Caenorhabditis elegans: one gene and its partner. The protein of the gene in region 1 purifies or fractionates together with the protein of each later gene. This does not show direct contact. Each region holds a gene or a part of one and is shown in the gene's direction. Other genes may lie near its edges.

Region 1 (4,758 bases):
ACCAGCAAGTCTCTGGGCTCCCATTCGGAGCATTTGAGCTCCCACTGGGCCATAAACTGGCCCAAAGGGCTATCATCAGGGCCATGATTACCAGTGATAAGACGATAACTGTCAGGTGGAACCGCTTTTCGGATACCGTAACCTTTTGGATTTTCTCCTTTGCATTTTCCAGCGCCGCTTCTTGGTTTCTTTGGGTCTCCTCACGGCTTTGGTCGGTGGTGAGAAGCTGGATTTGGTAGGGATTACTGTAATTTGACCTATTTTTTTTTTGATTGGCAGATTGGCGCGAAATTCAAATTTTTCTCAGAAAACTCACTTCATAATAATAGAAAATCGATAAAAAATAGTAGAAATGAACCAAATTTCTGCCAATTTGTTTGAAAAATAAATTTTTTCCAAAAAGTGAAAAAATCGAACAACACGGGGAAAAGGGGGGTCTAAAACCAAAATTTTTATGGGAATTTTTATTCGTTTTCTGTCTTTCCCGCCGTCCTTTCGTCAGGTTTTGTGCTATTTTATAATGGAACTTTTATGACGGCCAAAAGGACATTAAGTTCAATTGTTTTTGAATGTTATTTCTCAATTTTTCAGAGGAAAAGGTTCAGAGATTGAAAATTTGTTTAAAATTTCGAGTGAAACTCAAATTTTCAGCCGATTTCAGCAAATTTAGGTTTAAAATTCGAACTCTCCGGAAAATTTCGCAAATTTTGACATTCATATCGACTAGTATCGGTTGAAATTGAAATTTTTGCGGTCGCGTTGCGCCTTGAGTCGGCCTAGATTTTCCAAAGCCTGAACGAAAAATTCTCGATTTTTCATTGCCGAATTCGAATTCCTCGCCATTTCTTTAGCCTAAACCCAAATTTTCAGCTCAAAATTCGAAAATCGCGTGAAATTCGGTGTTTCTGGGGGTACTGTAGTCGGTGTTTGCGTACTTTTGATGCTACCGTAACCCGGGAAATTTTTAAATTGAGCTAGAAAGCTCTAGTTTTCGATTTTCCGCCTGAAATTTCGCGGGGAATTCGAATTTGAACTCGGAATTGGGAAATTTCCAGCGTCTTGAAACACCGTCATGATAATTGCAGAAATTGAAAATTTCCGGCAAATCGGCAAACCGGCAATTTGCCGATTTGCCGATTTGTCGACAAATCAATTTGCCGAGCGGAAATTGCCGCCCACCCCTGGTTCAAACACTGGAAATTGGACCGGAAATCAGGAATTTTTTTCCAGATCTGCAAAATAATGGATTTCAGAGTGTTTTCTATGACCTATTTATTTATTTTTCGAGTTTCTTTTATTTTTTGGAGATTTACAGGTTTGTGCACACATTTTCATCTCTTTCAGGTTGCCAGAATTGATTTTTATACGATTTTCACTTTTTTTTCTGAATATTTGAATTTAAATCCCATTAAAATCGCATTTTTCCTTGTTTTTTCTCTTCTGAAAAATATATTAATAAAATTATATTAATTCCACTTGTCCGAGAGGAGTACACGACAAAAGTCCGCAAGATGGCGTGACGGTGTTTGCGTACTTTTGCAATATTCGAATTTATTTTTTTTAATGGTTTTTTTTTTATTTTCTTCGGTTTTTAGCGTTTTTCTTCGGATTTCAGTGATTTTTTCGATGAAATATTCTGTTTTTTGCTCAAAAATTCAATTTTTAAGGTTTCAAACTTTCAGAATGACAAACGAAGAGCCAAAATCTCCCGAAAAGGTGGAACGCCGGCGGTCAACGCAGGAAGATTCGGAAAAAGACAAGAAACGTTCGAGTTGGTGGATTTTAATCGATTTTTCTGGAAAAAAGCGGGGTTTTTTTTGCAGGAGACGATAGAAAAACCGAGAAAAGGACTCACGATAGGGATAGGAAGAGGAATAGGAGCCGATCGAGATCTAGATCAAGGTAAAATTGGAATTTATTCGAAAAATGTGGTAATTTATCGATTTTTAGGTCCCCAAAGCGCTCGAGACGGGATAAAAAAGAGGAAAAGCAAGAGCAAGAGGAAGAGGATGGCGAGGTACATTGAAAATTGGAAAAATCTCGAAAAAATCGATTTTTTCAGTAAAATTCTCCAAACTCGGTTTTTTTTCGCTAAAAATCTAATTTTCACCGAAAAATTGATCCAAAACCACGATTTTCGGGAAAATTCCAAAAAATTCGAATTTTTCCATTTAAAAAACCATTAAAAAACAGGAATTTTTCGCTAAAAATAGCATTTTTCGGAAGAATTGTCCAAAAAAAAAAAAAGGTTTCTCGTATAAAATACACTCAAAATAATAAAACTGCGTGGCGTGTACTGCAGAAAACCTAATATTTAGGCCCCGCCTTTTAATCGTCCACTCACGGGGAAAACGCAAAAAGCGGTACCCCAGGCAATATCAGCCGCCGACATCATTCGAGGTCCGCGCACCACACTATTTTTTTCACTGTTGGCGTGGCGAGCTGTCCCCCCTCCCCTATTTTTGTCTTTTCCCCGTGAGTGGACGATTAAAAGGCGGGGCCTAAATATTAGGTTTTCTGCAGTACACGCCACGCAGTTTTATTATTTTGAGTGTAGCTTTCAAACGGAAAATTTCAATTTTTCCGTAGAAATTCCATTTTTAACGCAAAATTGACAATTTTTCGATAAAAATCACATTTTATGCAAAAATTCCGCAGAAAGACCGATTTTTTCGTAGAAAAAGCTTTTTTTTGACCAATTTTTCGGCTGAAAAATCCAATTTTCGACACAAATAAATTGCCAGAAACAATTTTTAGAGTTTTTGGAAGGAAATTCTGTGATTTTCGAATTTTTGGGTAGAAAATTGAAAATTTCGGGAAAAAATGAGGATTTTTCGGAATTTTGGGACTTTTTAAATCGATTTTCCGATTAAAATTGCATTTTTTACGGAAAAATCAGTCCAAAGCATATTATTTTTAATAAAAAAAATCAATTTTTTTCAGCAAAGTTCTCCAAACTCGGTTTTTTTCGCTAAAAATCTAATTTTCGACCGAAAAATTGATCCAAAACCACAATTTTCGGGAAAATTCCAAAAAATTCGAATTTTTCCTTCAAAAAAACCATTTTTTAAGACTAAAATTCCTTAAAATAATAGGAATTTTTCGCTAAAAATCCTTTTTTTTTTCGCTTTTTGTATAAAAAATAGCTTTTAAACGGAAAAAACCCGTTTTTTCCCAATTTTCCAGCTAAAAATTTCCAATTTTTCCGTAGAAATTCCATTTTTTAACGCAAAATTGACAATTTTTCGATAAAAATCACATTTTATGCAAAAATTCCGCAGAAAGACCGATTTTTTCGGGAAAAAAATGAGGATTTTTCGGAATTTTGGGACTTTTTAAATCGATTTTCCGATTAAAATTGCATTTTTTTTTCAATAAAATCAATAAAAATCTTCAGATCCGCGATACAACTCCACCGGCTCCGGAAAAGCCGCGCCAGCTCACCGCCAGAGAGCTCGAGAGGCAGCGAATTATTGAAGAGGAGCTTAAAGTTGAAAAAATTCCGAATTTCCACTGAAAATCCTCAAATTTTCAGAGCGGAAAGCACGATGAGCACGACGACGATCCGGTTTGGTCAATGAAAAAGGCGCAAGCGGAGAAAAAAAGTCGAATGTGCCCGTATTTGGACACTATTGATAGGTTTTTTGCAGGAAATTTGGGAAATTTTCTGTAAAAATCCCGGTTTTCAGATCAGTTTTGGACTTTGATTTCGAGAAACAGTGCTCCGTTTCACTTTCCCATCAAAATGTGTACGCCTGCATGGTTTGCGGCAAATATTTTCAGGTTTTTGGCGATTTTTTGTGTCGAAAATTGGATTTCTGGGCGAAAAATTGGTCAAAAAAGGCTTTTTCTACGCTAAATGCAATTTTTAACGAAAATTTGTCAATTTTTCGATTAAAACTGCGCGTTTTGCGTTAAAAATCGAATTTCTATGGAAAAAATGGAATTTTTAGCTGGAAAATTGGAAAAAACGTGTTTTTTCCCGTTTAAAAGCTATTTTTTATACAAAAAGCGAAAAAAAAAGGATTTTTAGCGAAAAATTCCTGTTTTTAAAAATTTTAATCTTAAAAAAAATGGTTTTTTTTAGGAAAAATTCTAATTTTTTGGAATTTTCCCGAAAATCGTGGTTTTGGATCAATTTTTCGGTCGAAAATTAGATTTTTAGCGAAAAAAACCGAGTTTGGAGAATTTTGCTGAAAAAAATTGATTTTTTTTATTAAAAATAATATGCTTTGGACTGATTTTTCCGTAAAAAATGCAATTTTAATCGGAAAATCGATTTAAAAAGTCCCAAAATTCCGAAAATCCTCATTTTTCTGCAAAAATATGATTTTTGACGTGATTTTTTCTCAAAAATTCCAATTTTTCATCAATTTTCTACTCAAAAAATTCGAAAATCACAGAATTTTCTTCCAAAAACTCCAAAAATTGTTTCTGGCGATTTTTTTAAATGAAAAATTGGATTTTTCCGCTGGAAAATTGGGAAAAAAAGCTTTTTCCACGAAAAAATCAGTCTTTCTGCGGAATTTTTGCATAAAATGTGATTTTTAACGAAAAATTGTCAATTTTTCGATTAAAAATGTGCTTTTTGCGTTAAAAATTGAATTTCTATCGAAAAATTGGAAATTTAGCTGGAAAATTGAAAAAAAACGTGTTTTTCCCCGTTTAAAAGCTATTTTTTATATAAAAAGCGAAAAAAAAGTATTTTTAGCGAAAAATTCCTGTTTTTTAGGAATTTTAATCTTAAAAAATGGTTTT
Region 2 (4,626 bases), on another chromosome or scaffold:
AACTTACATCTATCGTTGAAACTTTATTTGCCTCGTTAACGTAGCTGCGAATAATTCCGAATCGATTATACTTCAGAAACCTTTGTGTTGCGTCGAGATCCATTGGAGAGCTGTTAGATACAAATCGTTCAGGAATAAGAACTTTTCGGGGAGCAGGTGGATCAGAATAGACTTGCGGGAGAGGATCATTCAAATTTCTGTCCGAGCTCATCGGTCGCATTTCCTCAGGTTCACCGAGTTTAAAACCGAATTCTTCAAGCCCTCCAAGATCTTGGTTCCCATAATTGAATTGTCGTTTGATAGCTCCAAGATCGGAAGACACTAAAATTAAAACATCAAGAGAAATTATATTTACAATCCCTCACTTCGGGTATCTTCATCTTCTTCAATGGCTTCTTCATTGAATAAACTATCTTTTTTGAGTGAAGTTCTATTCAAAAGGATTGAGTCGTCATCATCACTATCAACTGCAACATCTTCAGTTTTGTTTGAAACAGGCTTCTCGTTAGATGAATCATCTTTGAAGACATTAAACAAACAGATTCCTCTCTAAAATATTGTTACTTGAAAGTGCTCGAAAAGGGAAAAACTCACATTTGAATCAGCGACAATCAATTTTTTTGGGGAGAATGGAGAAAAAACAATAGAAGTGATGATAGTGATACCAGGTGCATTTCTCACGAATTTTTCACAACACACAATATCTCTGGAAAAAATGTATTATTTATCAGTTCACACATTTACCTAAATTTACAATTCATCACTATTCCAAACAGCAATTTGATTATCCATGGTTGAGGAGGCAAGATACTTCCCACACGGCGAAAGCGCAGTAACCGAAAAATCCACAGAAGCATGATCTTTCAAACGGTATACACCAGATTCTTCCCACCCATTTCGACGGTACGATTTCACACATCCTTTTGAAGGAACAAACAGCCATTGACCATCCTTTGACCATGAGAGTTGAATACGAGGTCGTGAAACACTGAAAAACAGGACATTGTTTAAAACCGAAGTATAACATGAAACACTAACTCAATTGTTTCAAATCTTGGGAAAACCTTGGTCAGTGTGTGTTTAATCGAGAATGAATCAATGTCTATAATAGTCACATTGCCATCCACAGTAGAAACGGCCACAAATTCATTTTTTGGATCCAGTTTGACACAAAGAACTTCAGCTTCAAGACTTCTCGTTTTCAGCTCTGCATCTAAATCTTTCATATTCGTGCATTTAACCGCATAATCGCTAGATCCTCCAATAACATTTTCCCTGTTTGCGTCGACCGTTGTGACATCCATTTGGAATTCAAGAGGATCAATAATATCTCCTGCTTCGAAATTGCCCTTTTTCGCCCGTCCCACCATTTGCTGCTCGGATCCAACAATGAAATCCACCTTGCGGTAACCAAAACAGATGTTTTCTCCATACCAAGCAATAGATGATGTTGTCGCATCGGGAATCTCGATTATTTCAGGTTTTTCATCTTGCAGCAACACGTTCTTATTGATCTTGAGTACATTTCGTTCAGCATCACAAACGTAAATCTGAAAAAAACAGGTAAATATGTTTATAAATCGTTTTAAATCCTACATTTTCAGTATCTTCTCCTGAAGCATCAATGCAGATAGTTTGAAGGCCGATATTCTCCAAATTTTTAACGTTAGTAAAGCTCATCTGAAAACAATGGAATTACGAGTGAAATTATTTATTTTCATCAAAAATAAATAAAATGCGAGCAAATTTTAAACCTGATTCTTGGCGCCGAAATGCGGTAAAAAAGTGTAATGCAACCATGGACCAGTGAACTGCGTAGAACCCCTATGTTTTGCGTACTGGCATTCTGCCAGGGGCACATACGCAGACTTTTCAGTGTATTTTTCCTCTGAAGAACACCACTCTTTTCAAGCGCCTCTTCTTTGAGCGTCGCTTCACTAGATTCTCCGACTCGTTGGTGACATCATGACCGGAGTAAGTTTATAAAATTAATTTCATTAAATTTGCAGTGCTGTTAAGAATAGTTAACGTGATTTCCGTTCGTTGCATTGAAAAATGATTAGGCCAAACCTTGAAATGACGAAATTTAACCAATTATTGATTTTTATTTTGCAGAAACTGTATGGAAACAAGGACAACTTCAGAACCCAAAAGGTTTTGATTGCTGCCAAGCTCGCCAACAAGACTGTCACCCTCGCCGGAGATGCTGCTCCAGCTGACAAGTTCCCACTTGGAGTTGTACGTTTTAATTTATTTAGATGTCAGTATTTGACGATCTGTGAACTATCAATGTGCAGAATTTCAGACCCCAGCATTTGAAGGAGATGCTCTTCTCTTCGGAGCTGAGTCGATCGGACTTCACCTGACTGGAACCTCAGCTAACGCCGAGACTGTCCAATGGCTTCAATTCGCAGAAGGTTATCTTCTTCCAGCTGTTCTCGGATACGTTCTTCCATCTGTGTCTGCAGCCAACTTTGACAAGAAGACTGTTGAACAATACAAGAATGAACTCAACGGACAACTCCAAGTACTCGATCGTGTTCTTGTTAAAAAGACCTACTTGGTTGGAGAACGTCTTTCTCTTGCCGACGTTTCCGTTGCTCTTGATCTTCTCCCAGCTTTCCAAGTACACTATGACCCAGATTATATGTATACACTCCTAATTTTCAGTATGTTCTTGATGCCAACGCTAGAAAGTCCATCGTCAACGTCACCCGTTGGTTCAGAACCGTTGTTAACCAGCCAGCTGTTAAGGAGGTTCTTGGAGAAGTTTCCCTTGCCTCATCGGTTGCTCAATTCAACCGTAAGTTTCTTTTTTGTTAGTGTGAATTTGTTTTGTTCCACTGCGAAGTCAGCAGACTAGTCAATCGATTAGTAGGCGTTACAGTGGTGGAATATCAAGATTTATGTACACCGTCTTTGCTTGAAACAGTTTTTGTTTTTGCTTTGTTCGGAACGTTTTTCATGGGACTGAGAGTTGGAAATTTAGCACTGGTCGTTTACAGGGTTGTCCTGCAGTCAATTCTAAGTTACCTTAGTTTATGTCCCACACATTTAAAAAGAAATCTAATTTTATAAAAAAACTTCTGATTTTGTATTCCCAGTTTAAATTTTATTCTTATTTTACAGAAGCCAAGTTCACTGAGCTCAGCGCTAAAGTCGCCAAGTCTGCTCCAAAGGCCGAGAAGCCAAAGAAAGAGGCCAAGCCAGCTGCTGCGGCTGCCCAGCCAGAGGACGATGAACCAAAGGAGGAGAAGAGCAAGGATCCATTCCAAGATATGCCAAAGGGAACATTCGTTCTTGACAATTTCAAGAGATCTTATTCCAACGAAGACACCGCTACCAAGGCTATCCCACACTTCTGGGAGAACTTCGATGCTGACAACTGGTCCATCTGGAAGTGCGAGTACAAATACCCAGAAGATCTCACTCTCGCCTTCATGAGCTGTAACCTTATCAATGGAATGTACCAAAGACTGGAGAAGTTGAAGAAGAATGCTTTCGCCTCCATGATTCTTTTCGGAACCGACAACAATTCGACCATCTCAGGAATCTGGGTGTGGAAGGGTGACAAGCTCGCCTTCGAACTCAGCCCAGACTGGCAGGTAGGACCATTTCCTCGATTTTGAATGTCGAAGAGTAGTCATTTGTATACGTGATACACTTATACAGAGTTACACTTTTCGTATATAAGTGCTTCTTCTCGTTGGAGTTGTTTATTTAATGAGCAATTACCTCTAAACTGAAAGCAACAATTTTATGAATTCTCGATAGTTTTCACAATAATATATTTCAGGTTGATTACGAATCGTACACCTGGACAAAGCTTGACGCCAAGTCCGATGCCACCAAGAAGGAAGTCAACGAGTATCTTATGTGGGAGGGAGACTTCGGAGGAAAGAAGTTCAACCAAGGAAAGATTTTCAAGTAAACTGGAGTTTCCATACAACCCGGTGTATTTGCCATTTAATCCTGTTGTTTACTCTGAGTCGGAAAGAATAAATTGTTTTCTATTGTTTATAAAGGACCCGGTATCACTTCAATAAATTATATCTTCTTCAAGTTGAGATTGAATTTATTCGTCTATAAGTGTTCCTAAATAATTTTAGATTTAAAAATTAGCTCCTAAGCTTGTTTCTTCGTTTTCGGTCGTCGTATAGTCCTCGATGTGTCCTTCGAAATATTCTTGATTTGCGTGTTCCAAAAAGCAAGATTTGATGTCGTTGAAATATTGTACACATTGCAAATGGTTGATTGAGAGGCTATTGACATCACTATCTTGACTCTGTAAAAATCATTGCGTGTCAGTAAAATGTCTCTCAAACCTGATCGCAGAAAGAGTGACAGTGTATTGGAACTAATGATTTGGAGCAGCATTCCGTGTGGTTTGTTCCTCGTGCCGCACAAAAATGAATCTTTTGAATTGCAGTCACTGGGCACACTGATTGTTGAAGAAACACTGCACTGACTTCTTCTGATGAGTACGTAGAATATGAGCATAAATCTGTGCAAGATGATTCAACTTCGAGAAGTGAGCAGCAGGTGGCAAAGTGCTCATCCGGTGTCTGTTATTTAGATATTATTGAAATTAAAATTTCCAGGAACTTTTTTCATAAGTTAACTTTT

Evidence for each region. Proteins that work in one complex are often made in the same cells at the same time.
Region 2: the proteins of usp-39 (region 1) and eef-1G fractionate together in Caenorhabditis elegans (co-fractionation; one large-scale study listed by BioGRID). This does not show direct contact.

What each region holds. Positions count from the first base shown.
Region 1 is NC_003280.10:2,563,593-2,568,350, forward strand, and holds the start of usp-39 (Ubiquitin carboxyl-terminal hydrolase 39), read left to right. Parts: upstream 1-1,682; 5' UTR 1,683-1,683; coding exon 1,684-1,771; intron 1,772-1,823; coding exon 1,824-1,902; intron 1,903-1,950; coding exon 1,951-2,017; intron 2,018-3,397; coding exon 3,398-3,490; intron 3,491-3,535; coding exon 3,536-3,639; intron 3,640-3,689; coding exon 3,690-3,783; intron 3,784-4,758. Other genes in the region: nep-18 (Neprilysin), read right to left, coding at 1-85.
Region 2 is NC_003283.11:10,963,860-10,968,485, forward strand, and holds eef-1G (putative elongation factor 1-gamma), read left to right. Parts: upstream 1-1,859; 5' UTR 1,860-1,965; coding exon 1,966-1,974; intron 1,975-2,115; coding exon 2,116-2,238; coding exon of another isoform or gene 2,239-2,260; intron 2,261-2,305; coding exon 2,306-2,626; intron 2,627-2,670; coding exon 2,671-2,803; intron 2,804-2,838; exon of another isoform or gene 2,839-3,056; intron 3,057-3,129; coding exon 3,130-3,605; intron 3,606-3,630; exon of another isoform or gene 3,631-3,757; intron 3,758-3,796; coding exon 3,797-3,931; 3' UTR 3,932-4,063; downstream 4,064-4,626. Other genes in the region: ctf-4 (WDHD1/CFT4 second beta-propeller domain-containing protein), read right to left, coding at 8-321, 366-549, 595-706, 755-988, 1,039-1,550, 1,597-1,680; dbd-16 (DB domain-containing protein), read right to left, coding at 4,112-4,285, 4,326-4,565. UniProt on the Caenorhabditis elegans protein: Probably plays a role in anchoring the complex to other cellular components.